Linked DNA regions of Saccharomyces cerevisiae S288C. Changing the gene in region 3 together with the main gene of any one other region gives a genetic interaction. Each region holds a gene or a part of one and is shown on either strand. Other genes may lie near its edges. The genes, in order: MNR2, PAU13 and YMR090W.

The links.
Region 1: mutations in YMR090W (region 3) and MNR2 together harm fitness more than expected from each alone (negative genetic interaction), as found in Saccharomyces cerevisiae (one large-scale study listed by BioGRID).
Region 2: mutations in YMR090W (region 3) and PAU13 together harm fitness more than expected from each alone (negative genetic interaction), as found in Saccharomyces cerevisiae (one large-scale study listed by BioGRID).

Annotation. Positions count from the first base shown.
Region 1 is NC_001143.9:315,891-321,283, forward strand, and holds MNR2 (putative Mg(2+) transporter MNR2), read left to right. Parts: upstream 1-1,873; coding exon 1,874-4,783; downstream 4,784-5,393. Other genes in the region: DPC7 (Dpc7p), read left to right, coding at 64-285; YET1 (Yet1p), read right to left, coding at 547-1,167; YKL063C (uncharacterized protein), read right to left, coding at 5,125-5,393.
Region 2 is NC_001140.6:11,276-14,097, forward strand, and holds PAU13 (seripauperin PAU13), read right to left. Parts: upstream 1,011-2,822; coding exon 648-1,010; downstream 1-647. Other genes in the region: PXP3 (Pxp3p), read left to right, coding at 1,227-1,574; DFP4 (DUP240 family protein), read left to right, coding at 2,290-2,822.
Region 3 is NC_001145.3:447,308-450,538, reverse strand, and holds YMR090W (uncharacterized protein), read right to left. Parts: upstream 1,295-3,231; coding exon 611-1,294; downstream 1-610. Other genes in the region: NPL6 (Npl6p), read left to right, coding at 1-481; m-AAA protease subunit YTA12, read left to right, coding at 2,453-3,231.

The DNA.
Region 1 (5,393 bases), on a different chromosome or scaffold from region 3:
GGGACTTTGGACCTAACTCTGACAACAAAAACTCAAGTAAAAAAAAGCTTACATTTTTAAATGATGAGATCTAATATTTTGAAATTATTACAACGGACAAGTAGGAGATATGTATCCTCAAAGGATTTTGAGCCTGTGATAGGGTCTAATCCTAAGAAACAAACATCTAGACTAATGGTCGGTTCTGTGGGTGTTATGATTCCAGTTCTACTTTATTTGTTTTATAAGAACGATAGCAAACATAGTGAAATTAAAAAGATATACCAAAATGAGAAAAAAATTTAAAAAGTTGTTATATAAGGGTTTTCGTATATAACACAGAATGGTAAACCGAGTCACGAAGCTCAATCTTTTTTTTTTATGTCTTTCTCTAACGTTTTTTCGTCTATATTCAAAAAAAATAAAGTTGGTAACATATAATGCATATATTCATTTGATCTAATCGCTTGCTTTTTATTTCAGTAGCATTTTCGTATTGCGTCGCGACCAGAGAAGTATGAGCACCAGAGGTAACACGTATATACATTTATACATAAATATATCTATTTAGTTTCCTTTCTTGGAAGCTTCAGCAGCTGCTACATTTCCAGGTTGATTCTTCTCATCAAAATATTTCTCCAGGTTTTTGACTTGCTTTTGTAGGCCCTCCAGAGAAATTTGCTTTTTCCTTAGTTCCTCTTGAAGTTTGGTGGAATCAGCTTCATTTGAGTCTTTCTTGCTGTTTGAGGAAGGTTTGTTCAATTTTTGCTTTTCTTGTTCGTTGATTAAGCCTTGGTATTTCACCAGTCTCTTGACAATAGACATGACAGTTGGGATACAGATAGAAAAGTACAATATGAACCCGGAAATATACATATTTCTTTGATTGTACGCTCTTGATGCTAGTGCCTGTATTGGAGTTACAGCAGATGACCCGATTGAGCCACTGTTGTCGTTGTGGTATAATGAAACACGAATTTGAGACCTTTTCCATGAATCAATAAACAACAGGCCAACAAGACAACCCGTTATAAAGATTATAGTTTTTATTTGCTGCTTCGCTGTCAATTGGTTATAGGTGCTAAAAATACCCCTACGGATCCGGAATGGCAAAGGCAAAACGAAGATGAAGAGCATTACCATCTCAACAGTGAGCAATAAAAATAATGTCGTAAAGTATAAACTCATCGCAATATTATTTATTCTTCTCGGTTTTCAGTACTTGCCACTTTGCGAAAGGATAGCAGAAAGGAGCGTTGCAATGAACGAATAGCTTTAAACCAGAAACTATACAAGGTCCCACTTGGCATATATTTCTATTTTTGCACTGCGCCAGAGGGTTTAGTAGCGCCCCCTTTATGTTAACGTATCCTGTGATATAGCATGCAGCTGCGGGTTACATGTAAATTGTTCAGGGCATAAGCAGTACGTATCGAGGAGGTAAAAGACGTTGCAAGTAGGTAGATAGTACAATATAGATAAGCCCAACAGTTTGCGTACGCCTTAAAAGTAGTGGTGTTCTGCGTTTATGTTCTCTCCCTTCTTTTCTATCTAGGTTTTTATGGCGCACTTAAAATATTCTGCTGCTTCAACGGGCGGCGATCTACGGAGAAATTTTTGGCATAAAGTCAAACTTAGAAAGAGCACATAAGCCATAACTTCTTTTTGATATGTGAAACCTAGCCCAGGTTGTCGTTAGTAGTACCTGGCCCTTTAAATATATTTTTGTACTATCGTATACTTGTATAACTATTCATCATTTTCTGGTTTGGTAGTCCGCATTTTTTCATTTGATGACTAAGTTGTACGTATTGCTACACTGAGTTTATCCCCTTACTTCGACAGTAAATTGAGAGAATAAAAGTGAGAAGTGTAGAGAAGAAAAAGATTAAAAATGAGCACTGATAACTCACAAAAGGATGAAGGTGTTCCTTTGCTTTCCCCTTACTCTAGTAGCCCTCAACTAAGGAAAAAGAAGCGCAATCAAAAAAGAAGAAAGGACAAGTTTGTTGGTCACTTGAAGTCAGACTCACGTAGGCCAACGCAACTGCTGCATGATAATCTGCAACACAATCACGGCCAGATTACTGATTTCGACCAGATCGATTCCTGGGGCATGCTGCATGAATCTGATTCTACAAGTAATGATATAATAAAAAGTGAGGATCCATCGCTCAAGGGCGCGTTCATTGATCATAGACCTTCAATGAGCCAACCTAGGGAGGGGCCTCAAAGTGTATCAAGCACAGTTCAACCACAGCCAATAATGAAGTTTTCAACACCAAGTTACAAGAAACCCGCAGGGTTAAGACCCTCTGATCAGAATAGATCATTAGTATCGGACTTATCCCCTTCAGAGCTTGAATCATGGCTGAAGAGAAGGAAATCTGTTCATAAGAGTTTTGTTGACGAAAACTCCCCCACCGATAGGAGACAATCGAACGCGAATAATGATGTCGTGATTGATGTTGATGCGTTAATGAACCATGTTAACAACAATGCAAGTACTGGGGTTAATGATAACAGCAAGAGAAGAAAGAAAAAGAGGGGTTCTGATGATAGTAGCAACAAAAATTCCAAATCCACATCCAGTGATTCAAACGATGAAGAGGATGAGTATAACTCAAGGCCATCTTCTAGTCTTTCTTCAAATAACTCTTCTTTGGATGACGTTTGTTTAGTGCTTGATGATGAGGGTAGCGAAGTGCCAAAAGCTTGGCCTGATTGTACTGTTTTGGAAGAATTTTCCAAGGAAGAAACAGAGAGACTAAGAAGTCAAGCTATTCAAGATGCTGAAGCTTTCCACTTCCAATACGATGAAGATGAGGAAGATGGAACATCAAATGAAGATGGAATTCTTTTTTCAAAGCCAATCGTAACTAATATTGATGTCCCTGAATTGGGAAACAGAAGGGTAAACGAAACAGAGAATTTGAAGAACGGCCGTTTAAGGCCAAAAAGAATTGCGCCATGGCATTTGATTCAACGTCCAATGGTCCTTGGGTCCAATTCAACCAAGGACTCAAAATCAAGAATTCAAAGCGGATTACAAGATAACTTACTAGTCGGCAGAAATATTCAATATCCTCCGCATATTATTTCTAATAACCCAGAACATTTCAGGTTCACTTATTTTAGGGTGGATTTGGACTCTACTGTTCATTCTCCGACAATATCTGGTTTACTGCAACCTGGTCAAAAATTTCAAGATTTATTTGTCGCTTCTATATACTCCCAAGATAATAGCGCTGGTCATATCAAGACACATCCAAATTCTCCAACACCTGGTATAAAAGCAGAAACTGTATCTCAACTCCAGGGATTGACAGCTAAAAACCCTTCCACTTTATCGTCTATGTCTGTGGCAAATATAGAGGATGTTCCTCCATTCTGGTTGGATGTCAGCAATCCTACTGAAGAGGAGATGAAAATATTAAGTAAAGCTTTCGGAATTCACCCTTTAACTACAGAAGATATTTTTTTGGGAGAAGTTCGTGAGAAAGTGGAACTATTTAGAGATTATTACCTGATTTGTTTTAGAAGTTTCGATATTGTAGCAGAAAAGCATGTTCGTCGGAGGAGAAAAGAAAAGCAAGAATCTGCTACCTTGGATCATGAAAGTATTTCACGTCGTAAATCACAAGCCTATGGTGCTACTATGTCAAATGAATCAAATGCAAATAACAATAACAGTACAAGCAATGCAAGTAGGAGCAAATGGCTTCCATCGATTTTACGTGCACGCCGTCGGTCATCTGCAAATAGAACAACCAATACATCATCATCAAGCTATAAACGCCGTGTCAAAAGCGAAAAGAAAAAGATGGAAGAGAACGAAAAATTCAAAAGAAAATCAGGAGACAGGCACAAACCACGTGAGGGAGAATTAGAGCCATTGAATGTTTACATTATTGTTTTCAGAACTGGTGTATTGACGTTTCATTTTGCTCCCACACCACATCCTATTAATGTTCGAAGAAGAGCAAGACTACTAAAGGATTACCTTAATGTTACCTCTGATTGGATTGCGTATGCCTTAATCGATGACATTACAGACGCATTTGCCCCTATGATAGAACTTATCGAAGATGAAGTTTATGAGATTGAGGACGCCATTTTGAAGATGCATCAGTCAGATGATTCTAGTGATAGCGATTCTAGCGATAGTGATTCCGATTCGGGCGCTAGCGATGAGGATGCATTTCCGTTCGATGTCTATTCTAAAAAGACGTCCTACTCTAGTGCAAAATCTAGTGTGAGTTCAAGAAGTATGAGCACTTCTGAAGCGTCATTCAATGCAAATTTGATAGGTTGGAAGAGAAAAGGAGATATGTTGAGGCGGATTGGTGAATGCCGTAAAAGAGTGATGAGTATACTAAGATTGCTAGGATCCAAGGCTGATGTGATAAAAGGATTTGCCAAAAGGTATAATGAGCAATGGGAAGCTTCGCCACAATCTGAAATCGCAATGTATTTGGGTGATATTCAAGATCATATTGTAACCATGGTCTCATCGCTAAACCATTATGAAAAACTGTTAAGTAGATCGCATTCAAATTATCTGGCACAAATCAACATTGATATGACGAAGGTTAATAATGACATGAACGACGTTTTGGGAAAAATTACCATACTGGGTACTATTGTTCTGCCAATGAATGTGATTACGGGTCTGTGGGGTATGAATGTTATCGTGCCCGGACAATACAGGGATTCGTTGACATGGTTTATAGGCATTGTGCTTTTTATGTGTATGCTAGCATGTTCTGCATATATGTATACTAAGAGAAGATTCGGGTTTTAATTTAAGTGTTTTTTCGCGCATTAGCGCTTGCTTTTCCTTCGATTTTAATTATCAGCCTAAATTATTGTTGTCTTTCCCGAAGGATAGAATTGTAAATTATCAGCGCCGTATCGTATACTTGTGGTGATAAATATCTTTAATCTATTTATGTTTTTTTTTTTTTTTTTTTTCGTGTCTGGTTTCTACATGTTTGTGAACGTTCTGCATATCTTTATGTACGTACACAGTATGTTAGTATGCACTTATACTATACAAAGAATAAGGGAGGTGAGGTTAATCAATAAGGTTAACGTAAAACATTTATTATTTTCATCACCAAACTGTTGGAAGTTTTGAATTGGTTAATTATCAAGGATTTCATTGTTAGCCAAATTTTCCTTGGCGAGATCTTGTTTCTCTTTCTGGAGTTGCTGTTTTTGTTCTTTTTTGTCCTTGTTTATTTGTTTTTGCTTTTCTGAATCAATTTGTGGTTTCAAATCGTTCTCCAAATTCTTTACTTCTTGTTGCTTTGCGACTTCATTATTGAACTTTTCTTTAGGTACTTTAGCTTGTTGTGGTTGCTTATTGTTAGTCGCATCAGCTGCACCGCCGGCTGCAATATTGGTATGAT
Region 2 (2,822 bases), on a different chromosome or scaffold from region 3:
TAAATTAAGAGTTTTGGGCAAGTGTAAAGCAAGGGTTAAATGATTATGTAGTTATGGAAGTACCAAATTCAAGTTCGTAAGAGGCTTGCTTTCTACTGATATATAAAACGCTCGACCGATTGGTTCTTCAATTGGTATAGCTAATAACTATAGCTGGACTAATTAAGACTTCAAGGACGTCTTACGCAAGCGTGGGTGATTTTATTATTAAACAATTTTTCTGTCTCTATACGCATATATGTTCTATAACATAAATATGTAATGGATACTAACCTTTTTCTGTGATTAACTTACTCTTTGCGTTACACCTCCATCTGACTCATAAAACAGGAAGACTCAGATTTATTAACTTTAGCATTTACGCCGCAAATGGTAAATGCTCCGGCCCGATACCCTGAAATAGCAACATGTACGAAAGAAGGTATTCAACTGAAGCCTTTTAGACAGACAAGACTATTGGATTATCAAGGCACTATATTTTACCACTACAGTAAATACTTCTGATAAGAACGGCATGAATAATCAAGTAGGTTTTATAATACTGGTATACATTAATATAATCAACTATTTATACTATCAAAAAAAAAAGCTTTTTTTTTTTTGTTTTTTTAAGTTTTATGGAATTTCATTCGTAAAGGCGTTTGTCTCTAGTTTGTGATAGTGTAGATACCGTCCTTGGATAGAGCACTGGAGATGGCTGGCTTTAATCTGCTGGAGTACCATGGAACACCGGTGATCATTCTGGTCACTTGGTCTGGGGCAATACCAGTCAACATGGTGGTGAAGTCACCGTAGTTGAAAACGGCTTCAGCAACTTCAACCGGGTAGGTTTCAGTTGGGTGGGCGGCTTGGAACATGTAGTATTGGGCCAAGTGAGCTCTGATATCAGAGACGTAGACACCCAATTCAACCAAGTTGACTCTTTCGTCAGATTGAGCTAGAGTGGTGGTTGCGGAAGCAGTAGCAGCGATGGCAGCGACACCAGCGGCGATTGAAGTTAGTTTGACCATTGTATTTGTTATGTTTGTTATGTTTGTTAGTGCTGATATAAGCTTAACAGGAAGGGAAGGAATAAAGACATATTCTCAAAGGCATATAGTTGAAGCAGCTCTATTTATACCCATGCCTTCATCAGTCATCACTACTTAAACGATTCGTTAACAGACGCTCATTTAGTACCTCGCATATTCTCCATATCTCATCTTTCACAGAATTTGATTATCACTATGAAGATGTTATTGTTTTTAAACGAGGCATGCATCTTTATAGATTCCGTATGCGAAGGTATTGTTTTCTGGGGCCTTTGTCTATTCGTATGCGCAGAATGTGGGAATGCCTATTATAGGGGTGCCAGAGTGCCTTATAAAACCCTTTTCCGTGCCTTTGAAGTTTCCGTTTTCGGTCAAAAAGAATATCCGAATTTTAGATTTGGACCCTCGTACAGATTCTTATGTTTAAGCCCATATTCAATTTGCTGTAAACAGCCTCCAATGGAAGAGGTAATACTATATTATCCCTCTCCTGATAGTTTAATTAAAAATAGAAAACGTGTATTGGGAGTCGCTTATTTGTAGAGTTTGTAGTTTTTAAGCGTTCTCAGGAAATTCATTGACGCAATTACGTAATTGTAGGCCGCTGAGAAGCAGCTAGTATTGGAAGAGCCGCGTATGGTAAAAAAAAAATGTTGAGTTCAGTTTGTAGCAGTACTACAACTCTGTGCGGTGGGAAAAATTTATTCTTCGAGGCACAGTATTTTTCTTCTAGCTAGATATAAAGAAAAGTGAAAAAGGCAATATATGGCGCTAATGTATTTTATTCAATTAAAAACTTTCTGTAGGAAATGGTATTAATAGTTGGTATTCCTTGTAGACAAAACCATCGCTATATTCATGGTGACGGCTCATCTCTAAAGCTTCTTAAATGTACAGTCAGCTAAGTGTTCTCATAAGAAAGGGTTTGAAGAAGTCTCCGATAGCGTGCTTTAGTATGTTGACGAAAGAAATCAAGATCTAGCTTATATGTCATAATGAAGTAAGTTATATTGGAGTTTTTCTGGTAAATTCTACAAAAGTTATGCAACATACTTATTTCTGTCCTCTTCTTACTCGTCTTGCGGCCAAAACTCGAAGAAAAACATACGGGCCAAGAAAAATGATGCAATCCTCCCAGTTCTAGATATTCCCGCTTTTAAGTCCCGAATTATAACAATATAAAAAGGATATAGAAAATGTAATTGTTAACTTGTGGTATAAAGACAAATTCAAAAGCAAGTGAGGGCCCGCTAAGGCTATGAGTTCAGAATTATTAATATCTAATTCTAAACCAAGACCAGAAGGATTAAGAAAATTATGCGAAGGTGAGACAGTGATCCTTCCAAGGGACATAACCCCCAGCAAATGCGCTTATTTCTTAAAACAGAATATCGTATTCATTTCATATATTTTCATCCATATTATTATTACCATAATCTTAAACCGCCTGGCATTATCTGCACACGGTAATACTTTGATTATTATCTTAGCGGCTTTACTAATTACAATTTCACTATTCCTTTTACTCCTCTTACCTTACTTAAGCTGCTCAAGATATAAGTTAAGATGTTTAGATGATGATTGTAAGTTCAAACTATTAGCGGAAGTCATTACACATAAACCTAACATGGACTTGAGCACATGGGACCGGATTGCATATGACATGAACCAATTTGTATATGACCGTCGTATATGTGCAGATAGATCTTTTTTCTACGATGGCAGTTATTGCTATCAGGTTTTTAAAAAGTTGGTGGCTACCCCGTACCTTGTGAATTCCAATATGAATAG
Region 3 (3,231 bases):
GTATCCTGCTTCCGAGAATGGCATAAACCCTGCAAAAAACCAGGTGGAATTCTTTGAACACAGGCCACATGGTCACATGAGTAATTCTAATATTATTGCATCAGGTAGTAAGCTGAGCTCTACAAATTGGCTCTATCAGCATTCTGCTGCGTGTAGTAGATTTAATAGCGATTTGTTTTATGATAGAGTGAAGGTTCTTCTTGTAGATCAACAAGGCTTGAGAGATGCATACACAAATATATTACACATACCAGAATCCACACAGTCAACCACTGTTTTAGGATGGAGGAGATCAAAAAACGATAGTCCCAGCGACACAAGCATTGTGTATGAGACCGTTATACACGATAACGATTTGAATAAACCGAAAACGGGACTGTCGGAAATCCCGAAAGAGATCTATGAAGACGTTGTTGATGAAGACGTTTTAAGGGCTATCACCGAACAACAAAATTTCGAAAAATGCAACGAATATATTTAGTATACTCAATGTAACAATATAACAAATTTTTATCTTCAAATCAAGGTAAAAAAATTCATATATTCTCACTTTCTTTTTCTTTTCTTGACTATTCATCTACATATGCATTTCACGCGTAAATAGGTTGATCTACAAACTTTGAATGAATTTTTCCATTGGCTCGTTGCCATTTACCAACGAAATGGTTTTTTTCACTGTTGCATTTGGATGTAGCAAGCTTTCCACAATAAAAGAAGCTACATCCTCCCTGTTAATGGAGTAGTTAACAGAAGCCTTCTCTTCTAATTTGTCAAGGGGTTGCAAAAGACCGGTACCTTTATTTAGTTCCAACGATCCAGGCTGTAAAATAGTGTAATCCAAATTAGAGTTTCTAACCTCACGATCAGCAGATCTCTTTGCAATATAGTATTCACGCAAACCCTTAATGTTATACCAAAAATCTCTATCCTCCGCCTTGAGCGCTGAAACAACAACGAACCTTTTGATACCAGCCTTTTCGCATGCTTCAACAACTTTGATACAGCCATCCAGATCAACCGTGAAAATTCTTTCCATTCCTTTACCACCCGCACCGGCGCTAAAGACCACGGCATCATAAGCCTTAATAGCGTCTGTGATCTCACTAACGGACGCGTTTTCTATATCTGTCAAACTAGCATCAACACCTACTTCATTCTTGAAATAATTGACTTGATCCTGTGTTCTAACAATCGCTAATGGTGTTGAGAAACTATCGTTGGCCTTCAATTGGTTTATCAATAAACGTCCAACTTTACCACTGGCACCGACAACCGCAACTTTCATAGGAGACATGGCTGTTAAGTCAATAATATATGAATACCGATGATATAACTTCAATGAATTTTTATTTGGAGGGAAAGTATCCTATTATGAGCGTCACGATGGGACTTTAAATATATATCCCTACTTCGAGTGTACCCTTACGTAATACTTGCAGCCCCTTGCTGTTGACAGCGCGATACAATTTTCGTACTAAACAATCACAGAGGTAACAGCAAAGTTTGGAAAGTACTTTTGTTGGAAAGTTATTACGGCCACTAACATTGTCTCGTCGTATTATTAAAAGCTATAACGTCGTATTTCTTTGCTCGCTTGTGTTTTGTGATACAGGAAACACACACCAACAGGTTCACCGAGGGCTGTTGTCTGTCTTTGTACTTTAACTCAAAGAACTTCTGTTTCACGATTTGTATTAATAGTTCTTGCAGGCTACTAGGCTGAATACGTTAAAATGGTTAGCAACGAATATAACCAGAAATACTTCGGGTACAATTCTGATACGTATATTTGTAGATATGTCTCGCTTGATGTTGCCAACTTTGTCAAAAATGGTAACGTATGGGCACACGGAATGTGCTAATCCTCGACTTTGCTCTTTCGTAAACCAATTTGATGCAAGTGCAGCGTGGTCTTTTGAAAGTGCATTATCTCATTGGGCGATGCGAAAACTCTGCCTACAGAAGTTCGCCGTTAGATAATTCTGATTGTAGAAAACCTACCAAAGAGAATAAACTAAAGTGTCATCTGCTAATTTATGATCTTATCGTCTGAGTGATGATGTATGTTTCTCTTTGTACGGTTCGTCTTGTGCTCATGTACGTAACATCCTCCATATGTGTGAATTATTTTGTCCGGCGTCTTGTTTGAATATCCCATCCGGACGTATTTCTTTATAGGATAACGCATGCACATATCGGTTCGTTCAATAAGAAAGTCCCTTCTGGTATTATTCGGTGTCCTGTAAGATCTATATACTAATCACCAAGCTATCTGGTGTCACATTGTGAATACATTTGTCTTTTGGTCCATTTTTCCCCATCATTTTCTCGTGAAAACGATCTCTAACTTTTGCCACTATAGTTTTAAAGGAAAGATTTTGAGCTGCCAACGAATACAATATAGCACACTCAAGAGTCTTGGCAAGCAACTTTAAAGTTAGAAAGAGTACTAATGTTGCTACTTTCTTGGTCAAGAATTGCTACTAAGGTAGTTAGAAGGCCCGTTCGCTTCCGGTCCTATTACGGCTTGACCCATATCAAGAGTTTACATACTCAATATCGGCTACTCAATAGGCTGCAAGAGAATAAGAGCGGTAACAAGAACGAGGACAATAACGAAGACGCTAAACTTAACAAAGAAATTCCCACAGACGAAGAGGTTGAAGCAATAAGAAAACAAGTAGAAAAATATATCGAACAAACTAAAAATAATACTATACCGGCTAACTGGAAAGAACAGAAACGCAAAATTGATGAAAGTATTAGGCGTTTAGAAGATGCTGTATTGAAACAAGAATCTAACAGAATTCAAGAAGAAAGAAAGGAAAAAGAGGAGGAAAATGGTCCTTCAAAAGCCAAGTCAAACAGAACAAAAGAGCAGGGCTACTTTGAAGGTAACAATAGCAGAAATATTCCACCGCCACCACCACCTCCTCCCCCAAAACCACCTCTAAATGATCCTAGTAATCCTGTATCGAAAAATGTTAACTTATTCCAGATAGGACTAACTTTTTTCCTCCTTTCGTTTTTATTGGATCTCCTCAACAGTTTGGAAGAGCAAAGTGAGATAACGTGGCAGGATTTTAGAGAGAAACTATTGGCAAAAGGTTATGTTGCGAAGTTGATTGTTGTCAACAAGTCCATGGTGAAAGTGATGTTAAATGACAACGGAAAAAACCAAGCCGACAATTACGGTCGCAACTTCTATTATTTCACAATTGGTTCAATTGA